Drosophila melanogaster: one gene and its partners. The protein of the gene in region 1 interacts with the protein of each later gene in a pairwise test. Each region holds a gene or a part of one and is shown in the gene's direction. Other genes may lie near its edges. The genes, in order: Rap1, rau, eIF5 and Usp15-31.

Region 1 (5,615 bases):
GGAGTCCAAGAAGCTGGGCAAGCAGAGCTTCATGTATGCCTGGGTGCTGGACGAGACGGGCGAGGAGCGGGCCCGCGGCATCACCATGGACGTGGGCCAGTCGCGTATCGAAACCAAGACCAAGATCGTCACACTGCTGGATGCTCCGGGGCACAAGGACTTCATTCCGAACATGATCTCCGGTGCCACACAGGCGGATGTTGCCCTTCTGGTGGTGGATGCTACAAGGGGAGAGTTTGAATCCGGCTTTGAGCTCGGCGGACAGACTAGAGAGCACGCCATTCTAGTGCGATCCCTGGGGGTTAACCAGCTAGGCGTGGTCATCAACAAGCTGGACACCGTTGGCTGGTCCCAGGACCGATTCACAGAGATTGTGACCAAGCTAAAGTCCTTCCTCAAACTGGCGGGCTTCAAGGATTCCGATGTGAGTTTTACGCCCTGTTCCGGACTAACCGGCGAGAACCTCACCAAGAAAGCCCAGGAACCCGCCCTGACCAACTGGTACAGTGGACGCCACCTCCTCGATGTCATTGAGAACTTCAAGATCCCCGAAAGAGCCATCGACAGACCGCTGCGAATGTCCGTGTCGGACATTTACAAGGGCACTGGCTCCGGATTCTGCATCTCGGGACGAGTGGAAACCGGAGTGCTGTGCCTGAACGACAAGGTGCTGGTGGGTGCCAGCCGGGAGCAGGCCCAAGTGAAATCCCTTACCATGAACGAATTCCCACAGACTTGCGTGTTCGCCGGCGATCAGGTCTCCGTCACCCTGCCCGCCTTGGACATCAACAACGTCACCGTGGGCTGCATCATCAGCGATCCACAAACCCCTATTCCGGTGACAACGCGATTCCAGGCCCGCATAATCGTGTTCAACGTCAAGGTGCCCATTACCATGGGCTTCCCCGTGCTGCTGCACCACCAATCCCTAATAGAGCCCGCCGTGGTCTGCAAGCTGACCGCATCGATTCACAAGAGCACCGGCGAGGTGGTCAAGAAGAAGCCGCGTTGCCTGGGCAACAACTCGTGTGCCCTAGTGGAACTGGAAACCAGCAGACCCATCTGCATCGAGCGGTATGCGGACTTCAAGGAGCTGGGACGCGTGATGCTTCGCGTGGCGGGAGTCACCATTGCCGCCGGAATGGTCACCAAGATCCGCTAGGTCGATGACCGCGCTGGATTTTGTACGAAATTTTAGTTAGATATTAACTTTTGTTGATTTCCTAAATATACATAGTTTATATGAATTGATTAAATCGAAAAGACGCTGAAGCATTGGAAGAGATTTCGGTCTGACCATTTTAGCGGTATCTTAAAGTGGAGTGTGTTTTTCATGGAATTAATCACTTTAAGAAATTATTATATTTATTATCATTGAATTAATCATAAGGAATATAATTACAATTTATACATAAATTGCAATATCACGTTTTTGGAATATTATGACCCCTACAATAATATTCCAAAAACGTGATATTGCAATTTTTGTATAAATTGTAATTATTTTCCTTATGATAAATTCTATGATTCAAAACTGTATCTCGAAAATGTGAATATGCGGCTGACTAAAATTCTGAATGCGAATCATATTGCTGATTCATGAAACAATCAAGCATTAGAATTTTTTCTTAAACTATCGGCAACACAGCTTATATATTATTTGCAAATTATGCTTAAAAAATAAAATAGGAATACCATAAAATATCACTTACTGTAGAAAACAATTTCAATATGAAATCGTATTAACAAAATTAAAATTAAAAAAAAATATATAGGGAAAATAACAATTTAAATATTTCCAAAATTTGATGTGCTAATATAAATTTAAAAGAATCAAATATATTTCGAATATAAATTTTATAGTTTATTTTTAAAATTTACAGCAATGCTTTAAAAGTGTCATCGCTAAGCCATTGCGATAGTCGTGCGTAGCCCTCGGCCTGCGAGTGCCGATAGTGCCATCGATGCTTTGGCAGCCCTAGTCTTTGAGTGTTCGCTGTTCGCTGAGGGCGAAAAAGTAAAGAAATTACAAGGCAAACTAGTGTTAAATTAAAAGTGAAGCGATTCGCGAGCGGCGACAGGTGAAGCGGTCCCCAAGGAGCAAGCAGTTGGCGGCAGCGAGTGAAAAGCATAGGTAAAACTCCGCCCAGAGTTGCCCTGCCGCCCGACATGCGGGTGCATTTGCGTGGTTCAGTTGTTTAGTGGCCGTTCGGTAGGCCGATGTACGCACATGGGTGCCCAGTGTGCAATTTAAGTGCATTTTAAGTGAGAGAGCTGAGTGAAATTTAAGGGAATCTCCGGCTTGAGGCGTTGCAGTGGGGCGCTGCGTTCGGTGCGGCCGCCTGGCAACCCTGAAAATGAATCATTAGAGCGAGAACGAGAACGAGAGAGTTGTGAAGAAGAAAAGAGGGAGTGCAGTCAGTTCTCAGCATACCAAAAAACGCAAACCAAAAAGACTCGCAAAGAATTTAGCGTTTATTGTGTCTAAAAAGCGCCTTTCTTCTTACTCCCCCCACAGTGTGCTCTCGGTAGCAGTGACGGCCGTCTCGAGGAACAGTCAAGCCAGGATATTTCCGCTCAAAAAAGCAACAATTGAACGCACGCAACTCGGCGGAAGGAGCGAGCGAGAGAGGGAGCACAAACACCATCACACATTCACACACACTAACACACACACACTCACGCAGTCACTTACACGGCACAAAGGTTATCAACAGCAAAAGCAACAACAACAAACAATTTACTTTAAATATAAAACATATATTAACTAATAAGCAAGAGCAACAAAAAAAAACAAAAACAAAAAACAACTGCAACCGACAAGCAATCGCCGAACAACGCCTAAAAACAAGTGATTTTCGAGGGAGAGCCACCTGGAAAGTGAACCCACCTACCTGGCCTACCTGCATTTTGGGTCTCTTCCCTAGAATTTAGCACAAAACAAGAGATATACGAAGGATATACAAACAGCACAGCAGCCAGCATGCGTGAGTACAAAATCGTGGTCCTTGGAAGCGGCGGCGTGGGCAAATCCGCGCTGACAGTCCAGTTTGTCCAGTGCATCTTCGTGGAGAAGTACGATCCCACCATCGAGGACAGTTACAGGAAGCAGGTGGAGGTGGACGGACAGCAGTGCATGCTGGAGATCCTGGACACGGCGGGTACGGAGCAGTTCACGGCCATGCGGGATTTGTACATGAAGAACGGCCAGGGATTCGTGCTGGTCTACTCGATCACGGCGCAATCGACGTTTAACGATCTGCAGGACCTGCGCGAGCAGATACTCCGGGTGAAGGACACGGACGATGTGCCCATGGTGCTCGTGGGCAACAAGTGCGACCTCGAAGAGGAGCGCGTCGTCGGCAAGGAGCTGGGCAAGAACCTGGCCACCCAGTTCAACTGCGCCTTCATGGAGACCTCAGCCAAAGCCAAAGTGAATGTGAACGATATTTTCTACGACCTGGTCCGGCAGATCAACAAGAAGTCGCCCGAGAAGAAACAGAAGAAGCCGAAAAAGTCCCTATGTGTTCTGCTATAAGACTTCCAAAAACCACCAAAACTAAAAAAACAAAAAAAAAAATATATAACAGAGGAGGAGGAGAGAGGAGCAAAAGTATAAGCGTAAAGTAAAGAATTTTCAAATTTTTTTCGTTCTCGTTTCGTTTTGGATCCGATGGCAATTGTCGAATTGAAATAACCAATCTACTATATACAAGCAAAACTTAAACTGACAAATGTTTTTAACTGTTTCAAGTTTTTGTAATTATTACCATTTACTACTATTATGATTGTACTATTTTTCGCTGATTAACCATTAATTCATATGGGGAATTATTATATATATATATCTACATATTTAAATATATTTGTCGTTCGTTTTTGAGCCGTTTTTTAAATTATGCAACAAGTGAAACATTCGTAAACTAAAACATTCGTATTTATTGATTCTTTTCGATTGTACTCTACACATCTACAACTACAACTACTTATACACGCGAAAGCCCAACCAACAACAAGTATATCTTTAAATAGAACCGAAAACAACATTCGAAACACAAATCAAATTAAGCTAAACTAAATTGTACGCCTAAAAGATAAAGATAACAAATTCCACGAGAGAAATGAGCAAATAAATCGAGAAAGGAAATGAATCATGAATAAGGAACATATTTTATAAAAATATTGTATGCAAATGATGTCAAAATGTTGCAAACAACCAGAAGTAATGAGCCCCCTCCCCCTTAGAAATTAGTTTAAAACAAATTTACAATTAATTGTTTACCACGATCAGTTGCATCAAATCTGAACCCCCCCCCCCAAACACACACATACCAGCCACATCCCACACACACACACACACATTCGCAACCAGAACTCACACACACAAACACACCTACACATTTCCGGCGCGCTCTCAGAGAGCGAAAAAGCTACACGAAAACGGAAGCGGAATCGAGACAAGAGGCTCCTGCGGCCAAGGCTCATTTCCGCTTCCTGGTAAAAAGAAGAGGAGCAGGAAGTGCAGAGAGAGCCACAAATTCTAGAATATTTAATACATAAGAAATGGTTTAACACAAACTAAACTGTCGTGTCAATCCCAAAATGAAAAGAAACCTAAAAACGAAGTAATTTACAAATATTTCATAATAAACATTGCATAAACTTCGCGTACGAGTAGTAACCAATATGCCCTTAAATCAAAGTCTAAACACAGCCAACAACCAACATTAAAAGTAAACTAAATAAAACCTAAGCCCAAGCGTATATATTAAATATATGATAAAGATACAAATCATTTTTGAACATAATAAACAACAAACAAACCAACCGTTACAATAACATAATGTAATAATGAGCGTGTGAAAAATGTAATTGAAAAACCATTTTTTCGAACTTGTTTCCCTACTGGTCGCGTTTTTGGGACCCCACACAGAGCCTCTGATCTCAGAATCCTGGCAGTCCCGAATTCGCGACGCAGTAGGTCGACATGATCGAGCATCTTTTAATTATTAATAAATGTATTATGTTTATAAAAAATTAAAAAGGAAATGCAAAAACAAAATAAAAATTAAATAAATTCATTTGTGGAGCGTATGCCTTATTCTTAGCATAGTTCATTCAGAAGTTAAAGACAAGACGATTGCATTGAAGTTTTGAAATATCTGTATTTGATACTTGGAATAGTTATATAAGGTTGTTATTCAAATATTTATACATATACAATTACAATCAAATAGCTCGTCTTTATAATTATAATATTCTGCTAGTTTATAGCACGCATGTTAATCCAGCGTAAGATCTGCGATAGGATCGATTCGGAGTTAAGTTGGGGCGTAGGAGTAGTAAAACCGCATTGTATCCACAGCTGATATGGTATGCAAGTTCCGAGAGATTCGCGGGTTGAGATATACAATCATAATGCATGCTTTTCGTAGAAGCCGGCGAATCGCTCGCCAGCAGTTAAAATGTAGAAAGTGAATTTTAAGACAGAGTTACGTGGTAGTTTCTATTACTGTACAATAAGTGGCTCGAGTTCCGCTTCATGACTAGGTTTTGGGCTAAGCAAAGTGCTATACTGGGGGACTCGCCTCCGATTCCTGGTGTGATGCTTGTTA
Region 2 (4,695 bases), on another chromosome or scaffold:
TCACACGGCTGTGTGAAAAGCGTGCTATGATACCATTTTCATGTCCGCACAGTGCTGCACAAATATTTAACCGTTGGTCAGAGGAATGCCACTTAGCTACAAGATGTAACTTTTTGTGCCCCGAGGACAAACTTTGATACCCTTCAGTCAGAACGGAGAATGTTCTAAGGAGCCAAGCAATTTGACTGGGCTTTATTAACACCTTCGAACAGATCTTTCGGCTTCAATGTGAATACAAAACCAGTATCAATTTGTTAAACGGCGACCTCTAATTAGGGCCTGATTCATGAATTCTTAATTGACCGCCCCGGGTCACATGCAAACATAACTTGCCGTGCTCCAACTAATTAAATTACTCTCAAAAAGCAAACAAATAAAATTGGTTCCGCATTTTTCGCTCAGATTTTCACAACTCTGCGAGTCCGTCGTCCATCAGCGACATCGACTCATCAAGTTCATCTATCAAAGTCTAATGAATTTTACTGGCGCATCAGTTGGTTGGTTTTTTCCTTCCTTTTCATTCGCAAATTATCGAGCAACAAAAAATCTGTTATTTATTTTTGTTTTTCGCTTCGCTGATGATAATTTCACTTTCATTAATAATTTTTGGACTTTTTGACTTTGTCATAATTAATTTTTAAACTTTTGCTTTTCTTTGTTGTTTCTGTGGGGTCTAAAAAACATCAAACCGAAGCAATCTACGACTTGCCGGAATGGAATATCTCGCCTGAATGTTGAACTTTCTTTCACCTTTTCAGTTTACATACTGCCAAAGTTCAGGGCTTATTTCCTGGATTTAGTTTCGCCAGACTTAAAGTTACAAAATCGATCCTGTTAATCGAATACTATAGAAGGAGTCTTAAGGTCTACCTATTAAAAATGCATCAGCTTCATATTGATTGTTGTGGAAACTGTTAAGGTAGTACAGTTTTTGAATTTTCTTGTTGTTTAGTAACTAAATAAACTACTAATGCCGTTCTAGCGTGAACACATATATACATACGATTACTAGCTAAAGTCTTCTGCTTTGAAAACTCCCTGATTTATTACAAGTCCGTAAACTCTAGCCGTGCCTCGCCCTTCAACTTTGGTCATTTATGTAGCTCTGCCCAAGCCCATCCGGCGTCGCTCGACCGCGAATCCCCATCCCCAGATTTCCATGAGGAAACCCACATGCCGGCAAAGTCTAAGTCTGATTGGAAACCAGTTTTCCTCTCTCCGAAAAGAGCGAGCCGCAGACAGAACTAGTTCGCCCGCTCACTCGCCCACGAAGCGCCAACCCACACCCCCAGTGGCTCCATTATGAACGATTTGCGTTTTCCCAAAATCCATTCACCTAACATTCATACTATTCACATGGTATCAGATCAGCTTGGCTCATTTCAAGTTGAATTAAAGTCCCCTGTAGAAGATAAGAAGAGAGAGAATTTTATAGTCAGCTTAAAAAAATTAAATATTAGTTATCAAATTATTAAATAACTTGCTAACTGCAAGTATCTGCGTTGCTTTCCGCTGATCAAGCTAGCTATAGTTTTTTTCTGAGTGCAGAGAGGCGAGAGCGCGAGAGCCAGCTCACACACACATACAAAACAGGTATCTGAATGCGACTCCTCTCAGCGGGTTAGACCTCGCAGACGCTAGCCGTGCGGCTTCAGTGCGTCTGTAAACACTGCCGAGTGCGGTACTCAATCTACATTAGCTCCGCTCGAAAATTTCCAATTCTTAGTGAACTGGCTAACGGTAGCGAGCCTATTCGAACGAAAGTGAATGTGCGTCCAGATCTAAAATAAAATTGGTACGAAAGCCAAAGGAATATACATATGTACAAAAAGTGAACAAATTCGGATAGAAACTCAAAGTGCAACGCTAAAATAAAAATCAGTGCAGCTGCTTCCTGAGTGCACCTGTTTCCCCAGCAGGGAGCACGTACGCATACGCACCTTTGGATACGCGAAGAAATGCGAAGTGGCGTAGAGTGCTTGATAACTTAATGCCAAGCAGCCAAAGGGCCCTAAAAGCGGCAGCCGAAGAAAAACGACGCGACCTTGTCTTGTCTTCGCACTCCGGACTTCTTATACCGCCATCCATCAAAGTCTCGGGCCTTAAGGTCTTGGGATTACACACAAATCACATTTGGATACTACAAATCATACGCTAGAAGGTAAGCGCCCGATCGCTGGTCCAGTTTTCGCTCTTCATCTAGAAAGTTTGATTGCTAGACGAGATCTAGTTCGGTCGATTGGGTTTCTTCTCGCCTTGGCGAAAGTCCAGAATTTTCACAGCCCACTCTCCTGCACTCAATTATCGAATTGCGCGATTAGATCCAGACAGTTTCGCTGGCCAGAGGAGTTGATTGAACCCGCAACGGTAACCAAGCTGTTGGCCAGTCACTTCCTCCATTCCCGAGGTCATCTAGGGGGATTACAATGCAAATACGGAATTGCTGAGCATCATTGTCCGGTTCTTGGCCTCCGACAAGTGTACATCCGTGGATCTGCAACTCGACAATTTGCTCAGCATTTTTTTGAATTTTTATGCAAATATTTCAAACTTCCATTAGAGGGCCACACAGGCGGACATAAGACCTTCCCAGCTATTTTGGAAATGCATAAACATTTCATGTAAATTTCTTGGTCGAGTGACTCTCTTAATTAGTCGAGTTGCTTTGTTGGCCGATTATGAATGACACAAACTTTGGGTCTCGACCAAACATTTGATTTGATGCATATCTTGTAGATTTCTGTGAGAAAATCCGTCTCTGTTGTTTCAAGCTCAGATGAATGATATCACTCAGTTCGGTAACAATGCTCATTGGGGATTTTCGATTAACAATGCCCCCCAATCGGATACACATGTGTATCATTTCATTTGTCTTTGCTGTGCTTATTGTCAAACTCCTTAATGTCAATTCCACATAATATCATCTAATGAGGAGTTGCAATAATAAGTTAGCATTGTCCACCAGACGGCGGTGTAACCATGATTACGAGTGGGGAAAATCCCGATGTCCAAAAGCGGTTGGTTTTGATTATAAAATTGCTAGCCTGAGGTGGTGGTTACCATCACTTTCTCGCAATTTTCAACGCAACCGCAGAAAAGTATTGATATCGAATTAATTTCCTGTCCTCTCGCACACAGGAGTATTCGGTCTGGAGCATTGTTTTCCTGTGGACACTGAGGGGCTAAAGATTTCACATACCAAGCACGTAGCCTCAGACCGTTTGGCCCAACTTGTTGTCTTTGTTAGGTTCTATTTGGCTAATTAAAAATCAGGAAATGCACGAGTACAATACGCCCCAGAGGGCTCAACGTGCTGCGATCCCATCCTGAATTTCAGAAGACTACGTGAGAGAGGGATTACCTTTTTGGGCCTACCTGCTCGTGTGCTACTGTCAAGTGCGGTTTCCTTCAGTTTAGCGCCTTCTGCTTCGATTTCGGAACAGGTAGTACCACCAAATCTGTGCTTAACAGAAGTATCTTGTATTGGGCTGGATACGTGAGCCATGAAAGGATATTCGCCTCATTTAGTCTTCACATTGCACACACGTAGTACTTGCGAGGGGCGTTTTAAAAGGAAGTAGTTCTATTGATTAATCGATGGCAGGAAGTCGAGGGTGGTCTGCATCAGGGATCGTTTATCTTTCGCTGGAGATCTTGGCACTAACATCTCAATTCGCTTTTATAGTTTTTAGCCATTTTCTATCATATTTGTATTTAAGAGCTCCATTCCAGTGAATGGTTGAACAAACCATTTTGTATAATTTCCTCGGTAATTTATGCGTGGCTTTATAGCTTGAGGAAGTTGCTTGACTTCCATATACAGTTATGTACATTCAAGTCTATTGTTTCTTCATCTAACCAAAGACACACCCGCACTGGCAATAAAAAGACAATAGCATTTGTCAATCGACATAAATGTGCGCTAACCGGATTTTTGCGTACATATATGTAAAAGTTCTACTCTAAATTATTCCGGCTATAAAATAAAACAATTTATTTTACTGCAATTTTCCTAAGCTATTTTATTTTATTTCACACCCGAAGTCGTACATTCTCTTGTTGATTCTTAAATTGATTTACAATTTATTCGAGCGTTGGCAACACAATTTGATGTTGGAGCTTAGCATTCCGAAATATTCAAAATTCAATTGAAATGAATGCTGGCCCGAATCGGGGGTTTTTTTCGGTTATATATTATGCACTGCAGCCTCGTTTAACGTTTCTCGCTAACTCGGCTAAATTACAGCGAAAATCGTACTGAGTCAGCGGCTTCAAAATGGTAAATTCAATAAACAAGTTCAGCAGCGAAATGAAAAAATAATATACGACTTCTTTAATATAAATGATGGCACAAAGTCAGCAAAAAACTGGAAGTTGGCGCTTTTACTCGTGGTTTTTCTCTCAGCCGCTCTCGGTTGATATTTTTTTTTGTTGACACTTCGTTTTGTTAACAATTAATTAACAAAAAACCAAGGTACACAAAGCCTGTTAACTGTTTGTTTGCGCACGGCAACCTGTGAGATATGGTGGCGTAAAACAATTATAACGCCTTATGGCATCTGGTTTTCTCTAGCACTACAATGTATAATTCGAAACGATTAGGCATTGGGGAATTTGTGTGTTAAGTGATTCCGTATTGATTTGGCTTTCAGCGAAACTATGTAGTATTAGTCATAAGAAGCAAATTTGCATTGT
Region 3 (7,446 bases), on another chromosome or scaffold:
TAAGACTATTACGTTAAGAATTGTGTTTGATTTAGTAAATCAATTGTATCACAAGCAAATCACAAAATCCATAATACCATTTCAACTTATTTGATGGTCTTGAATGAGAGATAAATATAGGGTTTTAAGCTTACCGGTCTTCTCCTTGATTTCGCAAAGTACAGAGAAAAGTGCCGGCTTCATTCGGTGACAGTTTAGTGTATGTTTTCTGGCCTGGGCCTCGTCAAGTGATTGCTCCGAGATACTCATTATCTGTTGCAATATCTCGCCGATGTCCTTCTGCTTGCGCACCTCGTTCTCGCTGCCGGCATTCTGGCCATCATCCTGGCCAGACAAGCCGTATCCTTGCGGAGCCATCATGCCGCCGGTGTGGGCCAACATGCGATTGGGGTCCTCCATGGTGCCGCAACACAAAGCAAGCTACAAATCCAAGTTTCTGTAATAATATTAAACATCAAATATTAAAATCATGCAAGAAAAAAGGAAATAACCCAATATTTTTTCTACCAATTCGATTTTTTAGTGTTTTATTATTTAATAAATATTTCTTTTTTATATAAAAACATAAGTTTGAAACCCTTAAAAATGTAGTAAAAACTTGAGTTAATGTATACTTAACAAACTGAAAACAAATACACCAATTAAATCTTTTGCTACAAAATTCATCATATCTATAGAAGAGATACCAACAAAGCCATTAAACCCACAAACCCCACCACAAAATAATCCCCCAGACATTTGAGCAAAAGTGAAAAGACATTTTGGTATCCTATTGGAAATGCAATAATCTCCACCTGTCGCAATCTCATGAAGCGGCATATCTTTTTGGGGGTGAAAAAGTATCTCAGATGCGTAGCACGAAGCTGGGCAGTTACCCGAACTATTTATGAACTTATTTCTATTTATTTATTGCTGTGTACCACAGGTAACGTTACATTTTACACATGTACAGATAAATGACGCCGAGTGCATCACATACATACACTTGTACGTATGTTTAGTGCCAGCAGAATGGTAAAAAAAAATCAACCTGCCAAGTTTATATTTACATACACACAAGGTTATGGTTAAGCATTAATTTGAATGCAGTTTGAAAACATTTTGTTGGTTTTACATGTACATTCTTGAGATTTTATTACGTCAGAAAAGATTTAAACTGTTTATAACAAGGTGTATGTACATATCCACACATCGATATATGTGCATGTAAGTATTGAGAAGCGTCCACTTGAAATTCCATACTCACGGTTTTTTATTTATCGTGATTGCCTCGTATACTTATTTGCCGTACAAGTCGTATTTTGTGTTATTTTCACTAAAAATTAGTGACACATTACTTGCAGTTGTAAATAACCGCAAGTATATAATATTATTATCTTTTTTGGACAACAATGAAACGAAAGTACGTTCTGTATACGCAGAAAAATAAATCGATATGAAAAAGTTTTCCAGTACTGTAAGAATATCGATAAGTATTCCATAAAATGCAATTTATATTTGCTAGTGAAAACGTGGACAATCGATATCTTACCCGTAGTTACATTCTAGTGCTTACTCACTGCGAGTTGGGTATCGATACTATTTAAAATGTGGCTCTTGAAATAATATTTTAAACATTTTTTCAATAAAATAAATAAGATATCCTCTACAAAAAATGTGGTATATTGGTATTGGAATATAGAAGAAATACAGATGATCCACTCTTATAACATATATTTTAAAAGGCTGATTGGAACTACGTTTAATTATATAACACATATATTTGTTTCTATTTTAGTCAACTTCATTTTTAAAAATGGTCTTTCGTTTTTAAGCGTATTATTACATATCTTCATTTTAATAAATACCATATAAATTATATAAAAGTGAAAGTGTGAAAAGGCTAAAATTCATTCACATCATATTCGGCCAATCGATAGTGATAGGCTGCAGCCCACTAAAGTCGTTATGGTCATATTGTGCTGTGACGTTTAGTCGTATGTTCGTGGACTTCGGAGAAAATCTTTTCTTAAACGGTTAATTCAGTAAAATTATTAATTTACTTTCATTGTGATCAGAAACGCTTTATAGAAAACTTGTGGAAAAGGTATTGAAAAGTGATTGTGACCAAAACGAACACAACCTCAAAAGTTTAAATGGCGTGGCTTTCATCCATATGTAAATGCATACGTGCATGAAAATGTACATTTATATATATCTATACTAAATAATTCAGTTTTCCACAATTTTTGTAACGTTGGGTCTAGTGTATATCTGCATAAAGCTACTTTACTTCGTGCTTACACAAAAATCACGCTTCAACAGTGTTTTTTATGGCCATTATACAAAAGTACTGAATACATAAGTAATAGGAAAAGATATATATGTAAAATATATATATACTTGAATGTTAAATTAACCTTTTTCCTTCGAAATTATAAGTAAATTTGAGCTAAACTAAAGTAATGTAAGAAATACTTAGTACGGAGTGGTATACATATGTTCGTTCATGCGCATTCCTAATTTTATTTTCTTTCCCTTTGCAGAATAGTTGAGAGACCAAAAATTTCAATTTTTGCGATACATAAGCGCGTTAAAAGCGTTACTAATATTTTTCAATATTAGCACGGAATCAGAGCTATCAAAAAAAAAAAAAGTTATCGATTTCCCGTGGCAGTGCGATTTGTTTGATTTTGATTTATCCATATATATTTTCCAAGTCAATTTGCGATTGACTTCACAAAGAATACCCGAGAGTACGATATCTTTGTCTAATTTGCGAACTGGCATTGCGCACCCCAAAGGAGGGGAAACAAAATCTTATATGACTTTTGAAAGATACGGTGGTAAGTAATAGTTAATCATCAACAACCCATTGAATCGATTTGTATCTAAGACACATATTTATCCCGACCACTGTATAATGTCTTACTACTAACCAAGATCCGGATCCATCCAAGGTTACTTTAACATTAAAAATAAGCTTAAAAATAAGCAGCCAACACATTTCCTTCTCCCACAACCGAAAAAAAAGCAAGGATACAATGGTTTCTGAAAAAGGAATTCCAGAAACTTCTATTGCGATACAAGTAAAAGGCAAAAAGAAGTTATCCAGCGAATTCAACTGCATTCTCTTATTTTATTTGTGTGGCTTATTATGCTTTATCTTCTGAATTATGGCATATGTTTATATAAGATATAAACCTATTAAGATTTAGACTTCGTATAAATAAATGCATAGTTTCAGATCAGACTTCACTTCATTTCGTGATATTTCTAAAGCCATCTGTTCTATAGAAAACCGATAATCGGGCAATAAATAATGTCTGCGATTCGTTTTATAATTTAGTAACACACCCATTCACTTGAAAAGTGCTTTGACAAGCTTTATTCGTTGAATTTCGTTATATTCCAATAAATAATATTATTATTATTAATATTACCCAAGAATCTCGTATAAAACATAATAAAAGGGCAGACCTTGAGTAACATAAAAGAATTACTCATAGTTAGCTAATAATTGGCTGTTGGGAACAAGAATCACAATCGTACTGAAATGTTTGTCACATTCGTCAATTTAGTTGGGAAAACACACGAATATATTCAAGGGGGGGTCCTAACGAAATTCTCAGTGTCATTTTCCGGTTGCAAAAGTTAATATCTAAGATACAACAAAACAATAAAATAGTTTATACTCGCTCGACCTCTTAACCCATTTGCTGAATGTTTTTCTTTTAAAATTGACCCTGCTTTAAGACCCAGCAGTTCCATAAGTTTTTTTTTGGCTCTCAGCAACACGAAATAGTGCAAATCAGTGTTATGTTTTTAAATGATTCCAATTACTTTTGCTTTGACGTTTCAAGCAACATCAAATATACAATAAGGTCCCGTACAAATTCCAATTCGAATGCAGTTTTATTGGCTTCCAACGTGTGCGTTAAATGCAATTACATTTCGTTTTATATTTGTATTTTTCAGAAACACCAGCAAAAAAAACCACACTTCTCATTGAGAAAAAACGGAGTAAAGGGTTCGAGCTGTGCATGAATTCAAAAGGGCGAACCAAAAATCACCGGTAAGCACAAATCACTGATGACCAGACCATTAAGTATTGCTGATTCAAGTCGTACGACGTTTTGTTGCAATGCACACACTCGGGGTTTCTACGATAAAAAAATCTGGTATTCAAATTAAATTCGCTACTGTTTAATACGAGGGGCCTTTTTTACCTTGGCTCACATATGTGGCTCCAAATGCATAATACTGTAATACCCGATAAGAATTGATTATATTTGCAAGCAAAGGGAAAGTGGTGCTAAATTGCATTAAATTATACGCTGTAGAAACAGCACTTCGGTGGGTTTTTTTTTAAAGAGAACTTAGCATAATTAAGTAATAAGCATTGCATATTCGACTCGATTAACCAAATCTATTTCATATTTGCCTTCGCAGGACTTCGAGTAACAGACATCGGAAGTTACAGCCATTCAGGTACACATGAGCCTGCTCCTTCTCCATTTTTTAAAGACTTAAACTGGTAAATTTACAATATAAATAAATATATATATGTATATATATATAAATATACAAATATATATATAGATATATATGTATATATATATGTATATATAATTATTCATATGAATTCGGAAAAAAATAGAATAGCTGAATACCTACCACGGCGAAAATAAACAAAATCTTCAGCAAAATAAAAGCAAAGCCATAACCTTGCAAAAAAAAAAGAAGAAAAAAACAACTTACTCTCAAGCAATTCTGGCCGATTCTTCAAATATATTCAGTACACCCGTTGTTTGATTAGAGCACAATTAATTCGCCGTTCCGGAAGGACACCAATTCCTGCTTATTCTGGATACATTTGTTAAGTAAGCAGCAGCGGCAACTACTCAAAATAAAAGAACATTTAATGAACGGAAACGAAAGTTGGATCAATCACAAACTAGCAGAAAACCTGAAGCCAATTACTTCCCATCCACCAATAACCAATAGATACCACTGGCCACCTCTAACAGTAGCAACATTACCCGAACAACAGTAATACCCATTATCAGCATTATCTGTGGAGCCGAAAACCTATCAAGATGGCCACCGTAAACGTAAACCGCAGTGTGACGGACATCTTCTATCGCTACAAGATGCCACGTCTGCAGGCAAAGGTCGAGGGCAAAGGAAACGGCATTAAGACCGTGCTGGTCAACATGGCGGAAGTGGCTAGGGCCATCGGACGCCCGGCCACCTATCCAACCAAGTACTTTGGTTGCGAGCTGGGCGCCCAGACGCTGTTCGATCACAAGGTATGTGCACGGATAGATATCCTATGTTACCCATGAGCTATGCTCCCATTAATCACTATTAATTTCATTCAGAATGAGCGCTTTGTTGTGAATGGATCGCATGATGTGAACAAGTTGCAGGATTTGTTGGATGGTTTTATTCGCAAGTTTGTGTTATGCCCCGAGTGCGACAATCCGGAGACCAATTTAACTGTGTCGGCCAAAAACCAGACCATTTCGCAGTCTTGCAAGGCATGCGGCTTCCATGGTCTGCTCAAGGTTAACCATAAAGTGAACACATTCATTGTGAAGAACCCCCCGTCATTGAATCCGGCCGCCCAAGGATCATCGCTAACCGAGGGCAAACGCTCGAGGAAACAGAAGCAGAAGAACGATAACGCCGATGGCTCCATGACCAATAACTCTTTGGCCAACAACTCTGGCGGTGAATCAGATGGCGGCAACGGCACAAATCAGGCTAGCCAAACTGAGGCCGAGATTAGCGCAGCTATTCCGGAGAAAACAGCCAAGGATGACGACGATGAGGGATGGAGTGTCGATGTTTCGAAGGTACGTTGTTTAATCCGTATATACTCGCAATTAGCTTAAAGAGCTATTCATATGTATATTACTACTCCACCCCGGTAGGAGGCTATTCGTGCTCGTTTGCAAGATCTGACTGATGGTGCTAAGGGTATGACTATTTCGGATGACTATGATAAAACTGAAAAGGAGCGCATTGATATTTTCTACGAGTTGGTTAAGGACAAGCGGGACAAGAAGCAATTGGATGATGTGCAAACTCACAAGGAGCTGGTGATTGAAGCCGAACGCTTGGATATTATTAACAAGGCTCCATTGGTTCTCGCCGAGCTGCTTTTCACTGAAAACATCATCAAGGACGTGCAGAAGAATCGCCCTTTGCTTCTTCGCTTCACCCTCAATAATCCAAAAGCACAGCGCTATCTAATTGGTGGAGTGGAGCAAACTGTAGAGCTGCATAAGGGTATATTGATGAGCAAGGTTGCTGGAATCTTCAAATTGTTTTATGATCTGGACATACTCGATGAGGCCGTCATACTGGAGTGGGCACAGAAGGTTAGCAAACGACATGTCTCGAAAAATATTGCTGCCGAAATACACGAGAAAGCTATGCCATTCGTTCTCTGGCTGAAGAATGCCGAGGAAGAGTCCTCCGAAAGTGAGGAGGAGGAGGACGATGAATCCGAGGAGGATAACTACGTTTCCAGTGCCGGCCAACGTGGCGGTCAACGGGTCGTCCAACGCGGAATTCCACGCGCTGTTGCAGGCGACGAGGATGACGAGGACGACGTGAACATCGACGATATCTAAAAGGAATCAAAAAGAGAACAGCTACCCTAATCCAACCAGTAATATTTTAAAAGGGGGAAAATCAAGCGAGCAAGCATAATCTACAATTCAAACTGAAATATAAATTAGCGAGTTAAATCAACATGTGGTTTTTTTTATCTTTAGTTCTTAAGAGTGCTAATCGTATTTTGAGTCGTCGCTTTACTACCATTCAATTGTTTGCATAACATTTCCCAAGCCGCTGTAACAATAGAATTACACCAACATATTACAAAATAAAGCAAACAAAAACATTAATAACTACTTTTTTACTTGCCTTTTGGTCAGCTTAAGCTATGACCTTCAAGCAAGTTGATTTTTTTAGCCAACCATTGCGTTCATGTGGGAAAAGGGCATAAAGTTCATGCTGCCGCAAGTGATGTGCTTGTGTGAGAATAGGATATCTAAAGTAAATTCGTATTTTATAGTATATTTTCCTGGTGCATTTGGTATTTTAGTTAGTAGTTCGGCGGCGGTCACATCATACGCATCCCCTATAAATCGAAATAAGTTGAAGTTACATAAATAGGTATTAAATGTTTAAATGCCCAGTCCTAGTATAACTACAGATTTACTTTAGCAGGATCAACATGCTGCGTTCGGCGATGATGTCATCGACCCTGTCCCGGGCTCTCCAAAAGGCGACTCAGACACCGAATGCGTCGATTTCGGCGCTGCCCGCTCTGAATTTGGCCCTGGTGCGCCAACAACAAACGCTTCCAGTTGCCGAAGTGGCCCAAAATCTGCCCAAGAAGGGCTACTCTCCGTTCGGCACCAAACAGTCCTCCGTTGCGGAGTGGTCACT
Region 4 (4,631 bases), on another chromosome or scaffold:
TCCTGGTGTTGTGTGCTGTTTTTTTTCGCTTCTCCCCGGCGCTTTCATTTTTTATTGATAAGTTCATTTAATGGGCATGGGCCTCGCCAGCTGCCATCTCATCTTCACTCTCTGTCACTGCCACTCCCCACTCACTCGGCTCACTCAGCCCCCTTTAGTCCACTCAGCACGCCCACACGACTGTCTCCTAATGAGTTTAATGCTTTGTTATCATCGCTGTAATCGGCTTATGTAATATGGCAATATAATTGAATCCCGCGAAATTATGTCATTCGGCCAGGACTAAGAAGAACCGCCTAAGACTAAGGCAGCGCCGAGTTTCGAGTGGCGGATGGAGTTTACAATTGCAAATTAGCAAATTGGCAATGCCAGTCCAGATCCAATGGCTCCAACGCAGCACCTGCTCCGAAATCATAAAGGAAATGTGTGTGTCGACTTGGGGAAGCCACTTTCACTCAGCGACCAAATGAAACTTAACGGAAAAGAAAATTACATCATGCTCGTTTCAATGGGTCGACATAATATTATTTTCCTGCCCCAGTGGGTCCTCGGCTGGTAGTCAATTTTTTATTTATTTATTTTATGCCTACGCACATACGCGCCTGCGGAAAGAAAGTGGGAGAAGGTGGAAGAAACTGCCAGAAAGTGGGAGGAACTGGGGTCCTGACAGGTGTCGCCGACTGAGTGGCTGTCTGACAGACTCGCAGAAGTGGGCGTGGCTCGTCGGCGTGGGCGGGGTGGTGAAAAATGGTGGCCTATTATTCTTTGTATTGTTTTATGTGGCATTTATACGCGTATTTTTGTCGTCTTGTATTTGGAAGGGCGAGTACGCAAGAACGGCGAACCCCGCGAGTGGAAAATAACAAAGGCAATAGACCAGCCGCCCAGGCTGGAGGGCAACGGCTTCTCCGCCACACATCGCCATCCAATCAGTAGATAAATAACACATAAAATGAGGTGCTTAATCGGGTTTGAAGTGATGAAAGTGAAACTGAACCGTCCGTCCACATTCGTCCTTGTCGCCGGCGGCGATGGCTTTGTCACCGTCGTAAATCTAGAGTATCACTGGTGTTTGAATATCATTTGCCAACGCCGAAATTCACAGAGTGGCGTTCCTTTGAGCCCGGCGGCATAATTCCACCTTAAATAGCACGCGTACTAAAGTAATTTATCAGCATTGCTGGCATAAATTAGGTTTTCCAAAATAGTTGATTAGCAAATCAAAATAAGACATCTAAAATGTGTTCGAATATGGAGTACATTATTTGAAATGACCGCACATAATCTACCTATCGATTTCCGCCGGTATTTTATGTAAACGTGCTATCACTTATCGATAAGTAATCGGGTATAATATAAGAGCAAGACCTATATAAGTCACTATCAAGTGCTTGAGAATAACTTACAATTTAGCACACCTCTAAGCATACATTTGAAAGCACTCTTAATTCGCTTAAAAAATTGCATTAATGTAATTACGATACGTAATTTATAAAAACCGTTTTTGAAAACGAGCACTTGTCGCGTTGCCAACCATTGCCAAACCGCTACCAAGAAAAAATGTTCACACTAACAGAAAACATCGATAGCGATTTGTGTATAACCAGCAAAACGGGAAACAGTCACACTCGACACATCGAAGGTATTTTTGAACAGCCAGAAACAATCACACTCTTGTTTGTTAATAATACTAGCGGACTCGCGGCCCCAAGATAGAAAACGGTTCGATCGCGCGACCATCGACCAGCCAATTTTTTTCGCTGCAAATCCGACGCCGCCCGAAAAAGTGAAAGTATTTGCATGTGAGAGGTGGAAAAGAGTCGCGGAGTGGGTCAGCGAGCAAGAAGAAGAGCCAGCGGTGCTCGAAAAGAGGGGTGGGGGCAGACACAAAAACGAGAAACCGTGAGGCGAAAATCGGAAAAGTGCAATAACGAGGCCGCGAAATCTCTGCTAAAAGGTCAATTTCCACTCGCGATAGTTTTAGCCATTAGTTAAGTAGTACAGTACGTCCCGCGTCCGTGCAATTCATACGTTAATACCAATTTATATGTGACCGAAATCTGAGAGTGTTTAGTGTGCGCGAGAGAGCGAGACAGCGAGAGCAAGAACAGCATGGGTACAACAAAGGAGCGAAGAGAGCAAAGCGAGGGCGACGCCGCCACCACCCACTTAACAACAACAGCAACAGCAACAACAGGAGCAATAGTAGCAGCAGGAGTTACTACTACGCTGCCAGCTACAAAAACAACAACCACAGCGGCAGACACGAGCACGACGAATGCCGCCAAAAAGATTCGCCGCACCTTCTCCATGCCACGCAATCCCTTCCGCTGGACGCGTAAGTTCAAAACGGCAGTGGCCGTTACGTCGTCCGCGGGAGCGGAAAACGATAACGAAAGCGGCAAGAATAACGGGGCCAGGGAGCGGCGTGGCAGCCACACGGCGATCTCGTCCTGCGTGGGAGGTGGGCGTGGCAGGAGCGGGAGCATTGTGTCGCTCAGCAGCTACGAGGCCCCATTCATTTCGTCCACCAACAACAACACAACCACCGCCAGCAATGGAAACAACAACAACAGTAGCAGTAGCAACATCAACAGCAAGCGGACACGTGCTCTGCGCCGTTCGTCCTTCAGGAAGTTTCTCAACCGGATCGCCCAGCACCTGAGCTCAACGGTTAATGTCGTGGTAAGCGCGGAAAAGTGTGGAAAGCTATATATATCAAATAGCAAATGTTTCACAATGTATCTTACGATACATAATAGATACATTCTATTACTATTACTCATCAAAACATATCATGGTGCCCTTGGTCTCTTATTGTGAGTAATTGAACGGTTTTCTTATTTATACGGCACAATAATTTATAAATCTAGGGTAACTAAGGAACAGTGGGCTAATCACTGCAGTTTTTTCTATCTGGCTATTTACCTCTCTGGATGGTTACTTCCTTTAACTAAGGCATTACTTAGTTAATTACATTCAAATGAAAATATCTAATACGAACTGTTTAGCTGCGATTAATGAGGGCGCATAAACGAAACTCATATATGTATGTAGTTCCCCCTAGTATACCTTTCCTTCTTCGCTTTGTTTGCGCGCTGCTTAGAGCGCATCTTCTAGTTTCTAAAAAACCCCCCTTCCCCACCCCCTCATTCCGCACTTAGTAGTGCCACAATGCCCCTTATCAGGAGTCCAGCCGTACTTTCATAAAAGGCATCTTCGCTTAGTGCGTTATCGGCTGCTTTGTTTTGCTCCCGCTGCTCTTTGTCTACGGCGGACGCATAGCATCTTCATCTGCATCTGGATGCGAGTGGCTCTGATTTGGCACCGTTCTGGTATTCTGGTATTCTGGTGCTGGTTCTAGGTCTTTTGTGCCGCAAAGAGTCGCCTCCCACCGGGTCAAGAATGGGCACGAATCGCCCCTTGCAACGTTTCTGTTTCGTATCGCTTCGTTTGCCCAGCTTTTTGTTTTGCTACCCGTGCTGAGTCACAATTTGCGTGACCAATGATAAGGAAGTCGAGCCGTGTTGTGTATATCAGTCCAAAATGCGGCTTATTGGGACTTTGGCTCGCTGCTCCTCCTCCAGGGAGTTTCGGTATGTTAATCTATATGGTAGCTCCAGTCTTTGTTCACACATTCCGTTCGGCGGATAAAAAGCCTTTGTTTACACAACTATAAATACATCGGATTCCGCTTTTTTGAAGTGTATCTCCAATGTTCTACGCTCTTCAGCGGCAATTTACGATTACCATACGCGAGGACGGCGCATGGAAATTAATTTTATTTTTAAACAATTGCTGTCTCATTATTATCATAATTTTTGTTGTGCCTTCGAGTGGCTGCAGCGGGGTTCCGGGGGTCTGTAACTAGGTGTAGGTGGGCGCCTTTTGTTTCGCAGACAGCAATTGTTCAAACAATTTTGTGTAAATGTTGCCAACATTTGTTGCTCCGTTCGGGCTATAATAAACAAACAAGCAAACACACACACACACTTACACACAGTCCGAAAAACAAGAGTTTTTCAGGTCGTGAGCTGCTGGAGCGAGACACCACTTAATGACGGACCGGGTGGTGAACCGGGGATCGGGAACTCCGGCGAGGGAGCACGACTACCATCCTATGTGTGCCACGCTTCTGTCGGAGAAGACAGCTCCACAAAGTGTGGAAAGCGACAAGTGAAGAGCCGAAGACAAGTGCAGGGCGCAATGACACACGCCAGTGGCCCGATCCCCTCCAGAAAGCGATAACGCTGCAACTAGAGGCTGCTGGAATTGAATTTGATCTAATAATACTCACATTGTGCGCCCCAGTGTGTGCGTATCAATTTGTAAACAGTGCAACTTAGCGTCTCGTGTTTTCTGGCTCCTGACACTTTAGCCGAGTAATATAATGCTCAAGTATATCGACTTATTATGTCGAATAAACAAATATTTCCAAGCTCACTCAACATTCAACTTCAAGTCGTAATCCGATTATAGAAAGCTGAAATCTGTGTATGTTTTTGATTGATTTGAATGGAACGATCCGTTGCCAGAGGCTTTACTGTGACTGTACAAGTTTAATTAATTGTTGAGGGCAGACCTTATGGCCGTAGTGCAGCTGACCTTTTTAGAGCTCGGAATTCCAGAAC

What was found.
Region 2: the proteins of Rap1 (region 1) and rau interact in a two-hybrid assay, tested with the Drosophila melanogaster proteins (one large-scale study listed by BioGRID).
Region 3: the proteins of Rap1 (region 1) and eIF5 interact in a two-hybrid assay, tested with the Drosophila melanogaster proteins (one large-scale study listed by BioGRID).
Region 4: the proteins of Rap1 (region 1) and Usp15-31 interact in a two-hybrid assay, tested with the Drosophila melanogaster proteins (one large-scale study listed by BioGRID).

The regions. Positions count from the first base shown.
Region 1 is NT_037436.4:1,858,580-1,864,194, reverse strand, and holds Rap1 (Rap1 GTPase), read left to right. Parts: upstream 1-1,955; 5' UTR 1,956-2,134; exon of another isoform or gene 2,135-2,265; intron 2,266-2,378; exon of another isoform or gene 2,379-2,518; 5' UTR 2,519-2,983; coding exon 2,984-3,538; 3' UTR 3,539-5,080; downstream 5,081-5,615. Other genes in the region: HBS1, read left to right, coding at 1-1,162. UniProt on the Drosophila melanogaster protein: Ras proteins bind GDP/GTP and possess intrinsic GTPase activity. Plays a role in photoreceptor cell determination.
Region 2 is NT_033779.5:5,876,454-5,881,148, reverse strand, and holds the start of rau (rau), read left to right. Parts: upstream 1-1,650; 5' UTR 1,651-2,161; intron 2,162-4,695.
Region 3 is NC_004354.4:15,986,462-15,993,907, reverse strand, and holds eIF5 (eukaryotic translation initiation factor 5), read left to right. Parts: upstream 1-1,933; 5' UTR 1,934-2,086; exon of another isoform or gene 2,087-2,157; intron 2,158-2,525; 5' UTR 2,526-2,803; coding exon of another isoform or gene 2,804-2,825; intron 2,826-3,600; exon of another isoform or gene 3,601-3,863; intron 3,864-3,957; coding exon of another isoform or gene 3,958-4,054; intron 4,055-4,431; coding exon of another isoform or gene 4,432-4,480; 5' UTR 4,481-4,516; exon of another isoform or gene 4,517-4,798; 5' UTR 4,799-5,078; coding exon 5,079-5,291; intron 5,292-5,363; coding exon 5,364-5,840; intron 5,841-5,918; coding exon 5,919-6,623; 3' UTR 6,624-6,900; downstream 6,901-7,446. Other genes in the region: exd (extradenticle), read right to left, coding at 135-399; CG46312 (uncharacterized protein), read left to right, coding at 2,804-2,825, 3,958-4,054, 4,432-4,480; ND-20 (NADH dehydrogenase (ubiquinone) 20 kDa subunit), read left to right, coding at 7,232-7,446. UniProt on the Drosophila melanogaster protein: Catalyzes the hydrolysis of GTP bound to the 40S ribosomal initiation complex (40S.mRNA.Met-tRNA[F].eIF-2.GTP) with the subsequent joining of a 60S ribosomal subunit resulting in the release of eIF-2 and the guanine nucleotide.
Region 4 is NT_033778.4:24,742,155-24,746,785, forward strand, and holds the start of Usp15-31 (ubiquitin specific protease 15/31), read left to right. Parts: upstream 1-1,594; 5' UTR 1,595-2,112; coding exon 2,113-2,685; intron 2,686-4,631.